2 linked regions of the Canis lupus familiaris genome follow. The protein of the gene in region 1 interacts with the protein of each later gene in a pairwise test. Links are inferred from orthologs where the notes say so. Each region holds a gene or a part of one and is shown on either strand. Other genes may lie near its edges.

Region 1 (9,680 bases):
GACACGCGGCCGAGCAGGCACGGCGCCCCGCCCCTTTCCGTTACTAGACCCGCCCCCCCCAGGCGGCTTCTCGCCCTCATTGGCCCGTCTGCCGGAGCGGAAGGGGTGGAGCCGCAGACACGTGAGGGTCGGTTTCGAGGCCTCATTGGCTGGTCTCTAGGGCGGAAGGAGGGGGGCCGCCCGGGCGGGTCTCACCTGCGGTGTCTGGGTGGCCCGAGCCCTGGCGGAGGTGGCAGGTGGCGGGAGAGCGCGGTGGGAGCGCAGGTGCCCTGGGGGTCCGACCGGCCTGGTCGGCTCGGCGTAGTGTGGGGGTGAAGCGCAGGGCCCGGAGGGCCGCAGGTGCTGGTGGGCATTGCTCAGTGAGCTCAGGGGCCGCCTGCAGGAAGCTGACCCTCGGGAGGTGCGCACCTGCCCACGGGGGTGGCGGTGGCTGCTGAGCAGGGAGCCCTGGCGGGGCCTGCAGACGAGGGAGCGCCCCTGGCTCAGGTGGGCCGGTGGGCGAGGCCCGTCCGGAAGGTGCGCAGCTGCGGCTGGGATTCGGGATGAGCCTGGCACCCACCGGGTTCGCCCCCGGGCAGAGTAGGAGACGCGGCTAGACGTGGCCAGGCCGTGCGCAGCTGTGCAGCCCGGGCCCTCGGCGCCTGGCCCGGCCGTCCGCCCTACCTGGGGGCCTCCTGCGCATGGGCTGCCCGCCGCTGGGAAACGGGGTGAAGGCAACCTCGGGGGCGACCGCTTGGGCTTCACCAGAAGCAACACCGGATTCCAGGCAAAAGTTTCATGGAAGGCAAGGGTGTGGAAAGGCCTGCCTCTTAGGGATGGATTCGTGAGGAGGTCAGGGCTGGGCTGGGAGGCCCGGGGCGCCCTGCACAGCAGGAGAGGTGTGTGAGCCCATCCCCCGGGGCCCTGCTGGATGCTGGTGTCCAAGACGACCTGGACCTATCGAGGAGGGAGGCCTGGGCTTCCGCCAGCCGGCCTTTCAAGAGTGGTGTGGAGCAGAGCCTCTATTGGGTGAAGCCGTGAAGGTGTCAGGATTTGTGTGTTCTGGCTGTGGCCTTCACGAGTTACAGATCTGGAAACCCGGCGGGGACAAGAAGCTTATTTGGAGGCTTGATGGGTGGTCACCTTGGTTTAACATTTTGGTTTCTCCTCTTATTTGAACCAAGAACAATCCAATTAAAAAAACAAAAAAACAAAAAACAAAAAAAAACAACGTTGGATTTCAACATTAATTAAAAGCCAGTTTTTTGGGAGACTCTGCTCACTGCTCTCCCGGGGCTGGGTGAGCATTCTCGCAGGCCACGACACTGATGAAGCACCTACTTCTACTTCTATAAAAGATATTTACTTTTAATGTTATTCTACTATAAAAAGCCAACGTGAGGGAAAGAGCATGTGTTGCCATCTCACAGCAAGGCCACGTGGCGTGCTGGCCGCAGGCCTGCACTGCAGCTTCCCTACAGCCAGGAGGAGGCCGTGGGCCGCCACAGGGCGGTGTTCCAGCCCAGAGGTGTTCGTGGACGAGGCAGCTGGGCCCCACTCTCTGGCAGACCACGAGTGGCCCCGGGGAACAGGTGAAGGTTCTGAAGCAAGATTTATTCCAAGTGGGTGTGGACAGTGCTGACCTCAGGAGAGACGTGCCTTTCAAAGTAGGTCACAAGCCTCTTGGTCTCCCAGCCCCGTCTCCTCCCTCTGCTACTTCTCTGGCCTGAGCTCTGGCAGCGGAGGGGCCCCTAGTTCCCAAACAAAGGTACCCAAATGCCAGGAGAGAATTACAGAGATTTATCTTTATTAGTATCTTTATTAGCAAGAAAAAGAAAACCAGAATTTCTACCACCACCACCACCCCCCGCCCCCGTGCTAAACCCCACTTCCACTGCCTGGGCCCTCAGGGAGCAGCATCTGCCTGGGGAGGGCCTGCTGCCGGAGGTGTCCTTGGAGCCTGGGCACCCGTGCATGGCCACCCCTGTGCCTCGAGCCAACCATGGGCCCCCTCCTCCACAGTGCAGGGATGACAGGGCAGCTGGCCTGTCTCCAGCCCTCAGCTGTCAGCCTTGGGACCTTGGAAAAGATTAGCGATGTCCAGCAGAGCTTGGCGGATGTGGTTTCCAAAGCGCTGGGCGTTCTGCGGGAGCCAAGAGCTCAGACCAACCCTGGCAGGGAGCCCCTGTCTCTCTGTCCCTGCAACCCAGGGCTCGTCCCCAGCCCACAGGGCTCTGGGGGGCACCTCCTCCTCCGCCTGAGCAGGGGCAGGAGAGACTCACCGTCTCTGAGCTTGAGAACTTGCTGGAGATGTGGAAGAAGATGGTGTTCTCGCCCGCGATCATGTAGGAAACCCCGTAGCCATCGTCTGCCACCTGAGAACAGCACAGATGGTAGAGAAGGAAACGAGCCTTGCAGGGCTTGCTGTCCCCAGATTCCCGGGAAGGGGTTCATTCCTGAGGTCAGGGGCACTGCTGGGAGGAGCTCTGCCCCTGCAGCTACAGGTGCTACCGGGATCCAGGGCAGTGTTTGTCCCAGGAGGCCTGAGATCGCTGCCTCTCCCCGAGTGTCTCCAGCCCTGGCGTACGGTGGGGGACCCGGGCTCTGCACCGTGAGGGCAGCGACCAGTCCTGGGCCCGGTCGGTTGTGCTGCCGCGGGGTGTCGTGTAGGCGGCTGCAGCCTGTGCCCGGGTAATAGCTGCCCACTGTCCTTGCCTGACTTCAGGGCCCTCCTCCCCCTGAGATGCTGGGGCCCAGTCCTGCTCCCCTGTGCCCTTCCAAGAGCACTTACAGGGCCAAAGCCACCACCGGCGCCCAGGTGTTTGGGGTACTTGTCTGGGTCGAACATGCGGATCTGGAATTGAGCAATCTGGCTGGTGGAGAGGCGCCAGGGCTCCGAGAGCACCTGCAACAGAGAGGCCACCGCAGACACACCTGTGTGAACTGCCTTGCGCTTGGCACGTCCCTGTCAGCAGGTGGTGCCTGCACAACAGCCTGAGCGGGTGCGCAGACTCCCCGTCTGTTCTCAGGGTGACGCAGCTGCGTAGAACCCCCAAGGCCCCTGTGACCTGACGGTCCCCTCGGCCCGTCCTACCAGCCTGTCTCTCCCTGGGCTCTGCTCCCTCCCCTGGGGCTGCTGTGCCCCTGCCCCAGTGTGTGGACACTGGAGGACCCCTTCACCCCAACCCTCTGCCTCCCCTCTCTGCCTCCGAGTGCTGTCAGCACCCGACAGCCACGTGTCTGTCTGTCCACGCTCATGAGAACGGCAGCTCCACAAGGGGAGACTGCTGCTCAGAACCAGGCCCCCAGGCCTGGACGGGCCACGGGGAGGGCAGCTGCAGGGCAGGGGACAGGGGACACCGCCACCAACCATGCTGACCTCAGCCAGGAAAGGGGAGCTGACCCCCAGGTACTTGGAGACCACGTAGAGGCAGAAGAGGTGCCTGTCTATGCCAGCCCCTGTCATCGCCAGGCGGTACATATTCTGGTGTTTCTTGGAAGCCTTCCGGAAGAGGTCTCGGAGGTCAGCTTTCTGGGGGGCAGAGGTGAGGCGGTGAGGGGTGGGGCGGTGAGGAGTGGCCTGGCCCCTAAGTGGCTGGCGGCGGAGCCGGGCGCTCACCATGCGGGACCCCTCTGCCATGGCCTGCACGAAGGCTGTGGACTCGCTGGTGCAGGAGCGCACGGTCTCGGTCCGTCCCTCCCGGAACATCCTGGTCATGGAGGCCTCGTAGGTGAGACAGAACTTGCCCCTGTCCTGGGGGGTGCAGGGGGTGAGTGCGGCCGCTGAGGCTGCACCCCCTGCCCCCGCGGCCCGGCCCCTACCCGGAAGTGGGCGAGTTGCAGGGCAATCTGCACGAAGGCGTCCGGGCTAGTGCGACACTTCTTGATGAGGCCTTTGCCGAACGGCAGGAACTGGAAGCAGTACAGCTCCACGTCGTCGGCTAGTGCCGTGGCCACCTGGCAGGAGCTCTCGATGACCGCTCGGCACTGCCAGCAGAGGGAGAGGTCAGCTGGGGGCAGAGCTCGGCACGCGGGGCTGCAGGGTCAGGGGGAGGCCTGGAGGGGACGACACATCCACAAACACGGGAGACCCCCTGAGGGGCCTGGGCCGGGAGGCCGGCAGATGCTCCATGGGCCAGGGTCACGCCCAGGTCGCTCACTGGCCACCAGAGGGTCCCAGGACCTCCCTGGACTCTGACAAGCTCTGTCCCTTCCCCCTGAGAGTGCCCCCCATCCCTGTCCCTTCTTGGCCACACACCTGCTCAGGGATGTCCCACTGCAGCCGCTGGGGAGCGGCCAGCGCGGGGTTAGCTTTGCCCTGGCAGTGCCCAGTCTCCGTGTAGCCGAGGTGAAAGGTCTCAGTACCCAGGACAAACTGCAGGGAGAAGGGGAGGCTGAGGAGCCAGCCTCGTGCCCCACACCCAGCCGGCCCCACAGGACCCCTCCCTGGCCCATCACCTCCCAGAGGTGCCCTATGATGGGGGCGTCTGCCCACGCGTGTTCTGTGTTGAGGCCCAGCTGGCCGTTCTTGAAGGCGATGACCGTGAAAGACTTGTCGAACCACCTGCAGGAGGGGAGGCGGGAGATGCAGGCGGGCGCGGAATGGGGAGGCCGGTGGAGGGCCACGGCCAGGGTGTCACACCTGTTGTAGCAGTTGCCGTGCAGCAGGGCCTTGCCGTACAGGCTGAGGCTGGCCTCATCCTCGGGGTCGTAGTGGTGAGACTCCTCGTCCAGGGCCACAAAGAAGGCAGCTCGCTCGATGGCATCCAGAGCAGCCTTGTTCTTGCCGGAGCTGAAGAAGGCCTGGCGCGCCTGTGCCCACTCCAGTCTGGGGCACAAGGGCAGGGAGGGCAGTGGGGTCCCTGTGGGCGGTGGAGGACCCCCCCCCCCCACCCCGGACCTGGCAGGACCGTCCGGGAGGAATCCCTGCCCCACTTGCTCCACCTCCACCCAGTCAGACGTGGCTAGACGCCGCCATGGCCACCAGTGCCCCCGGCTACAGAGGGTCCTACCCCAGACAGGGGGCGCCCTGCCGGTGGGCATGCCCCTTGCCAGGCCACTGGGCCCAGGTTCTGGGTGCCCTGCGCGTGGGCCCTTGTCCCCGTGGGGTGCTGGTACCTTCCCCCGGCCGTGAGCGCTGCTAGCTTCTCCTCCCCGGGCTGGGGCGGGGACGGGTCGTCCAGGATCCTCTGGAACTGCAGCTCCAGGTCGCAGGGCTTGAGCAGCTGGGAGCCCTCATACAGCCACAGCTTGAAGAAGCGGCCCTTGTGGTAGACAGCCACGTGCCTGCTGTCCGACAGGTGCTGCAGCAGGTCTGGGGCAGAAGCCGGCAGGGGGCAGGGGCTGAGGCCTGGGCCGGGCGCACCTCCCTGCTCCCGCACCACCCTGTGCTGCAGGCCTCCACCTGGACTTCCCCTGTGCGGGGCTGTGGCGGTGCCGCCATCGAGCCAGGCCCTGTGCCGGGCTCCCGTACCTCTTGTGCAATGCCAACAGTCCTAGGAAACACTTCACAGAAGAGGAAGCTGAAGCTCTAGGAAATTACACACACTGTCCCAGTGTCGGGAGCTGGACCCGCAGCACACAGCCCCTCCTGCTCTGCAGCTCCACCCCTCCTGCTCTCCTTACCCAGGCCACCTGCCTGGCTCGCAGGGTCCCAGCACTGGCATCAGGCCTGCGGACACGTGGTGTCTGGGACGGCTCACAAACCAAGCATTTGTCACAGTTACTTGACCCTGAGATACCTGGGACATTTGGTGATGACGAGCAGATTGGAGGGCACCTAGCATGCAGGCCCCGAGCTGGGAGGGTGGGGGGACTCGGTCCTGACGGCCCCAGCACAGCACGAGCACGAGCACGGACACCTGGCTGTGGCCCAGTACCTGTCTCCTTGCCCGGGATCCGGGTCGTGTTGAACATCCTCTCCATCTGGTAGGAACACATGGGCACAATGCCCAGGGCCATCACCTGGGGGGAGGCCAGCGCAGCTCAGATGCGGCCGTCTCTCCTGGCTGCGCCGCCCGCCTCACACAACTCACAGGCTTGATCTCCTCGCGGTCCAGTTTACGGCGGTACATGATCATAGCGTGCACGACGTTGCCCAGGCGGGCTGCCTGGATGTTTGTATTCTTGATGAGCACGAAGTCCTGCGGAGACAGAGCAGAGCCTCAGGTGCCGTGCCATGATCTCTCTGGGCTGCTATTGCCTGGGTCTCCCTGCCTGAGGCCCCGGGGCTCCTGACTCCCTTCCCCAGGCCACCCTGCACCTGTGTTCAGCATGCGCTGCCACAGATGGACCTGTGACCCAGCACATCGCCCCTCAGCTCAGCTGGAATCTTTTGAGCTTTTTCATGACCTACTTTGTTCATGTTTTATTTTGCATTGAGAAATAGTTTAAAACCTATTGCAGGCAAGTTGTATGTACGTCGTGGGGCGGGGGGGGGCAGCTTTGTGGGGGAGGGGACATGGGCACGTGACTCGGAACAGCTCTGGACAGCGGGAGACCGCGGGAAAGGAGAGGCACGCTATGGAGCCCCGTGGCTGGGCTGTGGGGACACCTGGCTGACTGGGCACCTCAGGTGCTGGGAGCCGGAGAAGAGCTGGTCGCGGGGCAAGGGGCTGAGCTCTGAGAGAAGCAGCTCTGGGTTCACATAGTGACACAAAGGGAAGGCACGAAAGGAGAAGCTCCCTGGTGGTGGTGTCAGGATGGTTGGGAACCTGCGGCTGGGATGCCAGCAACAGAGCCATGGCGGGAAGGGCCAGTTCCTGGGCTGGGCCAGGCAGTGAGCCCGGGGGACTCGGAGAGTGACAGTGTCAGGCTGTGGGTCCTCAGGAGCCCGGCTGCCCTGACTGTTCTTCCAGGATCTCCCCCAACCTCCCCGCCCCCCCGGGCCCGCTCGCACCATGACATAGTAGTTGCTGTTCACCACGAGAGGCGCCCTGCTGCGCAGGTACACATACTCTTCCCACCAGTCACTCACCTGCGGAAGGAAGGGAGGGGTCAGAGGCAGGGGACCCCCCCCACACACACATAGGAGGGTGAGGTAAGCCCAAGAGGGGACTCACATAGTTGGTTGCCCACCATGACTTGAGGACCAGGTACTTCTGCAGCCGGGGGGCGGTCTTGTCCTGGAATTCCTTGGCCAGGACCTCCATTCGGTAGTATTCCTCATCATCCAGCAAGGGCCGCACAGACTCCAAGTACTGTCCAGCCAAGTCATTGTCAGCGTGGGGGCCAAACAGCAATGACCGCCTCTGTCCTGCCCCCCTGCCAACCCGGCCCCATGGCTCTCAACCCCGCTCTTTGCAGGGGATGGTCCCTGATGTTTGGAGAAGTCCTTGCAGTCCAGCTTAGCCTGCCCCACTGGGATGTCTGACCCGAACCCTCACCCGCTGAACTGTGGCCGGCACGCTGGGCACAGGAAGCTTGGGCAGGGATGTCTGGAAGCTGTAGAGCATGGGCCTCCGGCTGGACAGCAGGCGGACACAGATCTGGGCACACAGAATGTTTCTGGTGAGAACCAGGGGAAATAACAGAAACAGCCACATTTGAGGAGCTGGGCCCCCAACCCTCAGAACCAGGACAAACCCACGCACCAGGTGCCAGTGCCCCACCTGCCTCTCCCAGCTTACAACCCCAAATGAGGTCCCCAGAGTCTCAAACCAGATGCCTGAACCCCTCCACCGGCTCCTGCTCACAGCCCAGACTTTGGTGAAGTGGCTGGTCTGGCCGTGCATCTCGAACATCCAACCGTGGTAGGAAAGAAGCAGTTTCAGGGTTTGGCGGAAGAAGAAGATGCCCATCATCCAGACCCCAGTGGAGAAAATGGCCATGCTGAGAAGTGCCCGGGTCTGTGGGGTCCGGTAGGGGCCACATCTGCCGGGGAAGGGAGAGGGCTGCAGGGGGTCCACTTGAGGTCAGGCTGGGGGGCGGGGGGAGTCTGACTCTGCACTTCTGACCGTGGTGGATCGCGTCGGGGGAGGCGTTGATGAAGAGCACTCCTGGGCACCCTCATGTCCGAGGGCCTTACATTCAAACTTAGAAAGTAGGACTCAGATGATAGTGGCCCCCCGGGAGGGCTGCCCCTAGGACCTCCAGGGGCTACTACTGGTTTGTGCCCTGCTCAGGAGCCTGCCCCGCCCTCCCCGGGAGCCCTGCTTCTCACCCCTCAGGGAGGCATCTCTGGATGCAGCACACCAGCCCCATGGAGATGTCCACCTTGCAGTAGGAAGAGCCCACCGTCGCCATGACAATGACCAGCCAGCTGGTGGGGCTGCCAGGGTACACGCCCCTGAGGATGCCATTCTGCGGGGCAGACACAGGCAGCTTGCAGCGAGAAAGGCCGTGGGGAGGAGGCAGCTGAGCTCCGGGTCTTGCGGGGCCTCCTCCCTTCCTCACCTGCTGTGCTCTTCCTCCTCCACGCTCCCCTACCTGCAGCACCTCTTACTCACCAGGGGGCTGCTATTCCTTGCGCCCTGTCTGCCCTGCACACCTGAGCACCCCTGGGGCTTCTGCACTGCTGGAGCCTATCACCCAGCATGACGGCCAGCCTCCAGCCTCGGTGGGCGGGGGGGGGGGGGCCAGCCGCCGACATCTGGCCTCGCCTCCGGGGAGACTGTTCGCACCTGCCAGAACCACCTGCGCCCACCTTGATGCGAATCAGGCGTTTCTTCCAGGAGTTGATCCCGGACAGGTAGATGTGCTTCAGGGCCTCCCGACTGAGCCGGAAGTCCACCCCGTCTGGGGTCACGGTGAACTGGAAGGCCACGGCCTGGTGCGCTTCCGCCATCCTGGAGGTTGGCCCTCACCTGGAGGGGTGTGCGGGCGGGCTGAGGCCGGCCCCGCCCCCGCGCCCCCCGGTGGGGGGGGCGCCCCCGGTGCCCCCACCCCCGCACCCCCGGTGCCCCCGCCCGCCCCGCCCCCGCTCGGGGCCCCGCCCCCTGCCCAACGGCTGCTGGACCCTCGCGCCGCGATCGGATCCGGGGGCCCCGCTGGAGGGGCAGGGGGGCAGGGGGAGCAGGGGCCGGGAGCCCTGGAGCCGCGGCGAGGTGGGGGCCCTGACCGCGCGAGGGGCCCCGTGCCACTCACGGCTGGGGTTCGCTTCCGTCCGCGCGGGGGGCCAGTCGGTCTGGCCCGTGTCCCCACGTCCTTCAGGCCTGGCCGCCCCGCCCCTGCCGGGAACCTGACACCCACTCCCAAATTTGGGTCGAGCAAACAGATGTGGGGCGGCGACCAGAATCCCCTCCTCTGTGTGGTGGGAACCGGGGTGGGGGCGGGCTCTGCACGCTGGCGTGGCTCGGAGGTCCGAGAACCTGGGGCGGGGGGGCGCCCGGGGCTCACGTGAGGATGGGAGCATTAGAGCTAAAAATAGCTGAATGTAGGGAAAAGGTCGCCAGGGCGTCAGCTGTGCGCCTGCGAGCAGGGTAGCCCCCCCCCCCCCCCCCCCGCCCCCCACCAGGTCCTTCCAGTATGGGTCGGGGAGCTGCAGCCAGGGGGCCTGTGACCCGGGTCAGCCCCGGCACCCAGCTGCCTGCTTTCCAGAAGGGGACAGTGAGGCTCAGCTCAGGGGGCAGGTCAGGCTGCGCGTTCCCCGGGGTGGGCAGAGCCAGAGCCAGGACCAGGTGTGAGGGAAGCAGCTTGTTTATTCTGAGGGTGCACAGCCCGGGATTGTCCCACCACGACCCTCAACCCCAGGCTCACTCCAG
Region 2 (10,105 bases), on another chromosome or scaffold:
ACGAGGTCCTGAGTTCAAGCCCCATGTTGGGCTGAGAGCTTACTAAAAAATTAGCAAAATAATTATTTTTAAAAAGATTGTATTTATTTATTCATGAGAGAGAGGCAGAGACACAGGCAGAGGGAGAAGCAGGCTCCCTGCAGAGAGCCCGATGTGGGACTATGATCCCAGGACTACGGGATCATGACCTGAGCCAAAGGCAAAAGCTCAACCACTGAGCCACCCAGACATCCCTAACAAAATAATTATTGTTAAAATGTCCATAGTGTCCAAAGCAATCTACAGATTCAATGAAATCCTTATCAAAATACCAACAGAGGGGATCCCTGGGTGGCGCAGTGGTTTGGCGCCTGCCTTTGGCCCAGGGCGCGATCCTGGAGACCCGAGATCAAGTCCCACGTCAGGCTCCTGGTGCATGGAGTCTGCTTCTCCCTCTGCCTGTGTCTCTGCCTCTCTCTCTCTCTCTCTCTGTATGACTATCATAAATTTAAAAAAAAAAAAAAAAAAAAACCAACAGAGGGGCACCTGGGTGGCTCAGTTGGTTAATCGTCTGCCTTTGGCTCAAGTCATGATCCCACGGTCCTAGGACCAAGTCCCACACTGGGCTCCCTGCTCAGCAGGAGTCTACTTCTCCCTCTCCTTCCACTCCTCCCCACTGCTCATGCTCTCTCTCTCTCTCTTTCAAATAAATAAAATAAAATCTTAAAAGAAAATACCAACAGCATTTTCCCACAGAACTAGAACCAATAATAGCAAAATTTGTATGGAACCACAGAGGACCCCAAATAGCCAAAGCAATCTTGAAAAAGAAGAACAAAGCTGGGCATCACAATCCCAGGTTTTAAGATATACAACAAAGCTTTGGTAATCAAAACAGAAAATAGAGCACTTGGGTTGCTCAGTGGTTGAACATTTGCCTTAGTCTCAGGTTGGATCCCGGGGTCCTGGGATCAAGTCCCACATCAGAATCCCCATGGGGAGCCTGCTTCTCCCTCTGCCTATGTCTCTGCCTCTCTCTGTGTGTCTCTCATGAATAAATAAATAAAATCTTTTAAAAAATAAATAAATGGTGCTGGGAAAACTGGATAGCTACATGCAAAAGAATGAAATTGGACCACTTTTTAACATGATACACATACAAAAAAACCTCGCAAGATGTAAAGAGCTAAGTGTGAGACCTGAAACCATAAAAAATCCACACTTTCTCATTCTTTGCAGTATGGATAGACTGAGAATTTTCCAGATCTTTAAGTTCTAATTCCCTTTAGCTTAATAATTCCATCTTTAAGTTAGTTCCCTCCTTTCAAAGTCTACTATAAACCATCAAAGCAACCAAGCCACACCTTCAATATTTTGCTTAGAAATTGCTTCAGTTGGGATCCCTGGGTGGCGCAGCGGTTTGGTGCCTGCCTTTGGCCCAGGGCGCGATCCTGGAGACCCGGGATCGAATCCCACATCAGGCTCCCGGTGTATGGAGCCTGCTTCTCCCTCGGCCTATGTCTCTGACTCTCTCTCTCTCTCTCTCTGTGTGACTATCATAAATAAATAAAAAAAAAATTAAAAAAAAAAAAAAAAGAAATTGCTTCAGTTTCTGCTGTTTTCGTGCCACCATAATGGTGCGCATGAGTGTCCTGGTAGATGCTCTCAAGAGCATTAATGATGCAGAAAAGAGAGGCAAATACCAGGTTTTTATTAGGCCATGCTCCAAAGTCATCATCCGGTTCCTAACTGTGATGATGAAGCATAGTTACATTGGAAAATTTGAAATCATTGATTCTCAAGGGGTGGGAAAATTGTTGTGAACCCCACAGGGCAGGTTAAATAAGTGTGGAATGATCAGCCTCAGACTTGATGTACCACCCCAAAGATCTAGAAAAATAGCAGAATAATCTGCTCCTGTCCCACCAGTTTGGTTTCATGGTACTGACAACCCCAGTTGGCATCGTGGACCATGAAGAAGCAAGATGAAAACACACCGGAGGGGGATGCCTGGGTGGCTCAGTGGTTGAGCGTCTGCCTTTGGCTTAGTAGTTGAGTGTCTGCCTTTGGCACAGGGTGTGATCCCGGAGTTCCAGGATCGAGTCCCACATCGGGCTCCTACAAGGAGTCTGCTTCTCCCTCTGCCTGTGTCTCTGCCTTGTCTCTCGTGAATAAATAAGTAAAATCTTTTAAACACACACACACATGCAGGAGGGAAACTTCTGGGATTCTTTTTCTAAGGATGTAATACATACATGTAAATATAATACTTCAATGGGAAAAAAAAAAGGAAGAAATTGCTTCAAATCCTTCCGATTCCATTGCTCACAAACTCTACCTTCCAGAAAACATTAGAACACTATCGCAATTCAGCCCAGTTTTTTTGCCACTTTATAACAAGGTTCACCTTCCCTCCAGTTTCCAATAACACGGTCCTTGTTTCCACCTGAGATCGTATCAAAATGCTTTTACTATCAATAGTAAATTCAGAAAAGAAAAAAAAAAAAAGTAAATTCAGGATTATTGGAGGTTCTCTGAGAAAACTGAGGATTTCACTCCAGAGGTCTCCCTTCCTTTCTAGCTTTCTCCAGAATCATCCTTAAACATCTTCACAGCACTGAGCTTCTCTGAGCCCACAGCTCAGACTCTCCCTGCCTCTGCCCATAACCTAGTTCTAGGGCTGCGTCCACATGTTTAAGTGTTTGCTACAACAGCCCCCTGCTTCTCAGCACAAATTTCTGTCTCAGTCTATTCGGACCACTATTACAGAGCACCATAGACCAGAGCAGGTGGGGGGGCTGCTTATGAACATTGGAAAAAGATTTAAGTAAACTCTATGCCCAACGTGGGGCTCACACTTACCACCCCCAGGATCAAGAGTCACGTGTTCCACTGACTGAGTCACCCAGGCACTCCCAACAGAAACTTATTTCTCACGGTTCTAGAGGCTGGGAAGTCCAAGATCAAGGCCCAGGTGGGTTCAGTGTCTGGTGAGGACCTGCCTCCTGGTTTGTAGATTGCTGCCTTCTGGCTGCATTTCACATGAAGGAGGGCACCAGGCAGCTTTTTATAAGGGCACCGATGCTGTTTGTGAGGGTCCCATCCTCACAACCTAACCACCTCCAAATACCATTACATTGGAGATTAGCTTTCAACCTCTGAATTTTGGGGTGGAACACAAACATTCAGTCTATGGCACCCCACACCAAAGACAGTCATTGGGATGCCTGGGTGGCTCAGCAGTTGAGCAGGCTGCAGGGAGCCTGCTTCTCCCTCTGCCTATGTCTCTCCCTCTCTCTGTGCCTCTCATGAATAAATAAATAAATCTTAAAAAAAAACAAAAACAAAAACAAAGACAGTCATTGCCAGGGGCTGTGCAGGCCCTCAGCCTTCACTCATTTCAACTCACCACTGCTGGGAAACTGACTCTCTGCAGAAAGACTGGCCAAATCAGAGTCCTCAGTCACCAGCATGGACAGACAGGTACTGGGGCTGGCTCCTTAGAATATTTATGATAAATCGACATCTGTGTCCCATGGTTCCTGTGGGCACCAGCACCTGTACCTATATATATCCACTTTTCTCCCAAAACATTTGCCTCTCTTGGGATGCCTGGGTGGCTGAGCAGTTGAGCGTCTGCCTTTGGTTCAGGTCCAGATCCCGGGATCCCGGGATTGAGTCCCACATCAGGTTCCCCATAGGGAGCCTACTTCTCCCTCTGCCCGTGTCTCTGCCTCTCTCTGTCTCTCATGAATAAATAAATAAATAATCTTAAAAAAAAAAAAAAAAAAAAACTTGCCTCTCTTTCATGATGTACCTGCAAACTCAGCTATAGATTGTCCTGCGGACTCAGCCCACTGGGACAGCCACTCCAGAGGCTCAGGACCCTTGCTGTGCAAATAGCTATGACATCACCAGCTGCCTACAGCCCCCTGTGATGTCACCACCTGAACAACTTGGCCCGGCAGGGCTGTGGCCACTCTGCAGCCAGAGCAAGTGACAGAAGACCTAGATGACCACCACGCCCTCGAGAGAGTCCAGAACTGCCAGCATCCCCACAGACGGCAACAGCAGATCCCCAGATGGTCCAGGAGCGGGGTCCCAAAATCAGGTGGGACCAGCGGCTAATGGTGCCATAGCATCACCTGAACAGCAGGATGTAGATCAGGCCTCTGTCGATTCGGTGACCTCCAAACCCACATCAGCATCTGGGGACCAGGACAGCTATGCAGTGGCTGAAGGGCACAGCCAGGAGCCCAGAGAGGCCTCAAACACTCTACAAATGTCCACAAGCCCCCAGGACCCAGCATGGGATAGACAAGGGCAAGATTCCAGGATGATTCAGGGCCTTCAGACCTCCCAACGTGACTCCCTGGCAAGAGAAGAGACCCCACAATCGGCAGGCATCCCGGACAGAGAACAGGAATCAGCCCCAACCACCCCAAGCGCTGAGGTGCAGCCCTCCAGAGCCGTGGATGCCCAGCCCGTGGGGAGCGGGGCAGACACGGCTAGGCAGCCGCGCGGTCAGGACACCAGCGCCACCGAGTCTATGGAGGCAGATCCTGAGCGTCCGGAGCCCGTGAGCCTTGACACCGAAGCTTTGCCAGGAGCTGAGTCCCAGGGAGTGACTGAAGGGGACTTGGGGGAGCGCTCCAGAGACCTGAGGAGGCCTTCAGTGGCCCCAGGAGGCAGTGGCCCGCCCTCGCCCGGCCCCCAAGAGGTGGCCCTGGGGGGGAGGTCCCTCGACTCCAGCCTTTGCATGGCCAACGAGGAGGACAGCTATATGCGCTCCATGACCAGCCTGCTGGGCGGAGGCGAGGGGTCCATCAGCTCCCTGGCAGACGTCCTCGTGTGGTCTGAGACCACCGTGGGCATGGCCTCGGCCCTGCTGGCCTCCGGCCACAGCTCGGTGACAGACCTGCTGCACAGCCCGGGGCCCAGCCTGCGCTCCGTCTCCAGTATCCTGGGGAGCACCTTCTCCTCTGGGCTGATGGCGGGGACCAGCCTGGCCCTGCGCTCTGTCACCCACCTGCTGGAGAGGGTGGAGCAGAGGACCCTAGAGGGCGTCCGCTCGGCCGTGCGCTACCTGACCAGCCACCTCGTTCCCCACCAGGCCCATGCCAGCCCAAACTCCGGCTAGACCCCAATAAGGGAGCCCTCCAGGGGCCGGCTTGGCAGCCTCTGAGAGCCCAGGGCCCCGCATGCCTGCTCCCCTGCCCGCCCCTGCACTGGCCAGCTCTCCCCGGATCAGGCAATAAAGCACTGGAGAGCGTTTATTTTCTAATCACAGAAAGGTGTCCCCCAAGGGCTTCTCGGGTTGTCCCACTGGGGGGCTGGAGGTTAAAGTCCAGAAACAGAATAGCCTAGCAGGACTGGAGGGCCAGGTGTAGGGGTCTCAGACTTGCAGACATTGACTCTGGCTAGACCTCCAACCACGTAAATATGTTCCTGAGGAAGTAAGGCCTGACCCTTCCCCAGGGCCTGCTGGCCTAGCAGGCTGGGGGGTGCCCTACCGGCATCGGGGGCTGTTGGGGGGGACCTGCTGGAGCTCTCTAAGTGGGATTGAGAGGTCAGAGCCAGACCAGTGTGGGTTCACACCCTCATGCTGTTACTGGTCCTGGGCAAGTCACTTCACCCTCTGAATCTCCGGTTCTCCCCAGTAGGATAGATAAGGAATCCATACCATGAGGGTGTTTACGAGATGTAAGGAAAACATTGCAGGGCCTAACACATGGTGTCTGGCACTTAATAAGCTCACACATTACACGTGCCGTTACTATCCTCAGTAGACTGGGGACACGGCAGGAAAAGGGGTCTAGGTAGAGGGACCAACCATCCCTGTTTGCCTGGGATGTGAAGGGTTCCTGGGACATGGGACTTTCAGATTTTAAAACCAGGAAAATCCCAGGCAAACTAGGACAAGCCGGTCACCATAGACCCAGGCTTCTTTATAAATGTCTCTGTTGGAAAGGGAGCACCTGTTGTTGGAAAGCCACCAGCCCACCCTCTGTCTGCATACCGTGCCACACGAGGCAGGTGACTTGGTGAGCAGAGCTCCGGTGGCACATCAACCCCACTCTCGCCCCTGGTGCCTGTGCCAGTCGCACCCTGCACCCCTCCCTGCCTCAGCCCTGGCCGTGGTATCATTCATTCCACCGTCTCCAAGTGGGAGCCCTGGGCTGAAACCGGCTCATCGATGTATTTGCCTGTCCTATACGGTGTTTCTCAAATCTTGTGTTAATTGCTAACACTTAAAAGGCAGGAGATTTTAACATAAAGTGACAGATTAAAAAAATAGATTCCTGCTTCTCTTAAAAAAACCTAGAGGCCTTATTTTTTCAAAGCAACCAGCAGCCCAGCTGCCCTCTTTAGAGAGACCTACCTGGCCTGCAGGGTGATTGATGTCACCTGGCCAGCGCCCAGAGGTGTGCCTTTGCCACCCCTACCCCGCTGATGGCTCCCTCGAGGAAGTGCGATACCAGGCCCCAAGGGGATGCAAAGACAGACCAGGTGTGTCTACCCCCTCTTCTCCAGAAGCTGCTATTTCCAGTAGGTGAGACATGAACTGTCTTCATAGTGAAAGCGAAAACTTCAGGGGAGGAAGATCACCAATTTAGATCCTAGTAATCAGGGTCTTCCAGAGGAGCAACTGAGTCAGATCTGAAAAGAGAGGAGCGGTGGTGTTCCCCGACAGAGGGGACGGGAACACAAGCTGAAGCAGGTGTGGGAGGGCGGTGGGCAGCTCAACCTGAGCTGAACCCAGAGCCGAGAACAGGTGACCAGGCTGCCAGGGTAGACCCCAAATGCTTTCCACAATTTCTGAACCAGGTAAGTGCCACTGTCTGGCAGAGAGAGACTGGCAAGGTGAAGGAAAGATTGGAAGGGACAGAAACCGAACTCAAGCCAGATCAGCTGCTGGGAATAGCCGAAAAGCACCCAGGTGGGAGCTGCTGGACCCAGGCTGGGCCCTGTCCTCAGGGCTCCATCTCTGCAACTTTGCCCCCTGCCCCCGCCCTGCCCCGCCCCAGCAGGCTACTTTCCTGGCGGCTGAGCCACCTTCCTGGAAAGACAGAAGCCTTGTTCTTACCAGCTGTGATGGGTTTGGGCCCCGTGCTCCCTCCGGCACCAATCACTGAGGCTCACGCCCACCTAGGGGAATGGGGGGGGCACCAGGGTCAGCCCGGCAGTGAGGGCTCCCCCTCCACAAGGGCTGCTAGACCAACACCATTTTGCATGTTGAAGAGTTGTAAGAGTGTGCCCTTGGGGGCCCTGCTGCCTCCAATCCTGCTCTACCTCCTATGAACTGTGTTACCTTAATCTCCCTGTGCCTCAGTTTCCTTATCCCTAAAATGTCAATAATAACAGTACCTATGGCATCGGGCAGCCCTGAGGGCCACGTGAGTTTAATGCGTCAAGTTCACAGCACAGTGCCTGGCACGCAGTTGAGTGCTGTGTGTGTTTGCAATCACTGTGATTCTAACTACAGAGGCTTCTATGGAACCATTCATTGCCAAGGACTGACTTTCCCTGCTTGCTCCGGCCTTCCTCTTTACTGCCCAATAAACAGTCATGTTGCAAATCCTCCTGGCAGCACATCTTCTCTGAAGGTGGAACCCCCCACCACCCAGGCATCCAGGTACTAGTGCACCCAGAGAGAAGGCCAGGCGTGCACACTGGGGGCTGAGGGTGAGACATGGACAGAAGTGGGAGCACCCCAGCTCTGGATAAGAAGGCCAGAGCCAGAAAGGAAAGGGCCCAGGCAGGAACTTGGGGGAAAGGCCTGGTTCCCCAAGCAAGAGGGAAGCGGTTCCCGAGACTCAGGAGCAGAGCAGGGGGGTGATCCAGCCTAAGCCCATGCGGGCCTCTGGGTGGCCAAATATGGAACAAGGGAAGCATTACGGGGGAGAAGCAGGTAGTGGGAACAGAAGGTGGCATGGAAGGGGGAGAAAGGAGGAGCAGTGGTCAGAATAATGGGGTGGAGGATGCCTGGGTGGCTCAGCGGTTGAGCGTCTGCCTTTGGCTGAGGGCATGATCCTGGGGTCCTGGGATCGAGTCCCACATAAGGCTCCCTGCATGGAGCCTGTTTCTCCCTCTGCCTGTGTCTCTGCTTCTCTCTGTGTGTGTGTGTGTGTGCGTGTGTGTGTGTGTGTGTGTGTTTCTCATGAATAAAGAAATAAAACCTTTTTTAAAAATTAAAAAAAAAAAAAGAAAGAATAACTGGGCAGCTGAATGGAGTGAACTCTCTGGTGTTGAGAACTGAAGCTTCGACAAAGTCATTAATTCACCCCCACGGAACTGGAACCCCCTCACTCTTTCCCATTTATTTATTTATTTTTAAGGTTTTATTTGAGACAGAGGGAGACAAAGCAGGAGCAGGGTGGGGAGGGACAGAGGGAGAGGGAAAGAAAGAAGCAGGCTCTGAGGGAGCCCCATGGAGTCATGGTCCCAGGGTCATGACCTGAGCCGAAGGGCCCACTCTTTCTCCTTTACATGCCAGAGCTCACACCTGACAACCACCAGCGTTTCTCCAGGATCAACACCCACCCTTTTGGGTGTTTGTCTGCCGCTGAGAGATCGGCCTGCAAGCAGAGGTTCTGCACAGAGACTTTTAGGCCGGGCTGAGTTCCAGGGGGACGGGCCCAACATCGTGACCTCCGAGCCCCACAGGAGCTGCAGCTTGGCAAAGGGAAGGGCGCAGATCAGTCCTGGCCCACAGCAGAAGGGACACTGTGGCCTCTCCCTGTGGCACAGTGGACACTGTGGTGGGTCGTCCATCCCCTTCAATTAAGGACCTGTTCCCCCTGCTGCTGGGGGCGCAGTCAAGGATCAGCCTTCAGTGCCAGCTCCTTCAGAGAGCTGTCCCCCCCATCGTGGCCAAGTCTGGGCCAGAGTCTACGGTATGACTGTCCAACTCCAGCTCTGGAATGCCTGTGGGGCTGGCCGGCGGTGGGGGGGGGAACCTGGGGTTCACGCTGCAGACTCCACTCCCCTCCACCCGCTGGCTCTCAGATCCTGCGTTCCAGAGAACCCAACTTGTGACCAGTTTTGTTCCCATCTAAGATGCGTGGGGCAGGGGGGTGAAGGGGACCTACAAATTAAAACTGTGGCAAAAGTTCAAAGATGTTTTTTTTTTTTTTAAGATTTTATTTATTGGGCAGCCCTGGTGGCTCAGCGGTTTAGCGCCGCCTTCAGCCCAGGGCATGATCCTGGAGACCCTGGATCGGGTCCCACATCGGGATCCCTGCATGGAGCCTGCTTCTCCCTCTGCCTGTGTCTCTGCCTCTCTCTCTTTCTCTCTGCGTCTCTCATGAATAAATAAAATATTTTTTTAAAAAATAAAGATTTTATTTATATGACAGAGTGAGAAAGCACCAGCAGGGGGAGCAGCAGAAGGAGAGGGAGAAGCAGGCTCCCCACCAAGCAGGGAGCGGGATGTGGAGCTTCATGTGGGGTTTGATGGGGGGCTAGATCCCAGGATCTTGGGATCATGACCTGGGCCGAAGGTGGACGCTGAGCTGACTGAGCCAGCCAGTCATCCCCAAAGATGCTTGGTTTTTGTTTTTTGTTTTTTAAGATTTTATTTATTTGACACAGAAAGAGTACAAGCAGGGGGAGCAGCAGAGGGAGAGGAAGAAGCAAGCTCCCCGCTAAGCAGAGACCTCCATGTGGGACTCAGTCCCAGGATCCTGGGACCATGGCCTGAGCAGAAGGCAGATGCTCAACCAAGTGAGCCATGCAGGCGCCCCTTCAAAGATGTTTTTAAATAAAACCTTTGTTGTGAGAAAAGTTAGAAATTTGATGCCATCTTGAGAATGGTAAAAAGAAAAAAAAAAAGGCTAAATGTTTGTCAGTGTTTTTGTTTTGTCCTTACAAAACAATGTTAATGGTTTCGTCTACAGCCACTTGGCTAATTGGTTAAAGTCACCATGTGATTGTGGTCAAGTTTATAGGTTTGTCTGGACAAGGCCTGGATTCTCTTCAGGAAAGAGCGTCTCCAAAAAAAAGTGACCACAGCTAAGGGCAGTCCCCCCAGGGGGATGTAACAAAGTGTAAAAGTAAACTAAAGTCTTTACATATTTAAATGGGAGGCTGGATGCTCTCCGGGCTAAAAGGAAGCCCCAGTTCC

What was found.
Region 2: the proteins of CPT1B (region 1) and TEX44 interact in binary tests that used the Homo sapiens proteins (3 or more experiments, as listed by UniProt). The two-hybrid records come from large-scale screens. The link is inferred for Canis lupus familiaris from reciprocal best matches to the Homo sapiens genes CPT1B and TEX44.

The regions. Positions count from the first base shown.
Region 1 is NC_049231.1:17,642,617-17,652,296, reverse strand, and holds CPT1B (carnitine O-palmitoyltransferase 1, muscle isoform), read right to left. Parts: upstream 9,245-9,680; 5' UTR 9,064-9,244; intron 8,784-9,063; 5' UTR 8,765-8,783; coding exon 8,624-8,764; intron 8,281-8,623; coding exon 8,141-8,280; intron 7,852-8,140; coding exon 7,590-7,851; intron 7,467-7,589; coding exon 7,365-7,466; intron 7,179-7,364; coding exon 7,041-7,178; intron 6,956-7,040; coding exon 6,878-6,955; intron 6,123-6,877; coding exon 6,015-6,122; intron 5,944-6,014; coding exon 5,859-5,943; intron 5,294-5,858; coding exon 5,098-5,293; intron 4,808-5,097; coding exon 4,622-4,807; intron 4,544-4,621; coding exon 4,438-4,543; intron 4,355-4,437; coding exon 4,238-4,354; intron 3,967-4,237; coding exon 3,802-3,966; intron 3,734-3,801; coding exon 3,599-3,733; intron 3,512-3,598; coding exon 3,359-3,511; intron 2,885-3,358; coding exon 2,771-2,884; intron 2,355-2,770; coding exon 2,262-2,354; intron 2,123-2,261; coding exon 2,039-2,122; 3' UTR 1,765-2,038; and 1 more. UniProt on the Homo sapiens protein: Catalyzes the transfer of the acyl group of long-chain fatty acid-CoA conjugates onto carnitine, an essential step for the mitochondrial uptake of long-chain fatty acids and their subsequent beta-oxidation in the mitochondrion.
Region 2 is NC_049246.1:43,633,113-43,643,217, forward strand, and holds TEX44 (testis-expressed protein 44), read left to right. Parts: upstream 1-3,937; 5' UTR 3,938-3,991; coding exon 3,992-5,119; 3' UTR 5,120-5,255; downstream 5,256-10,105.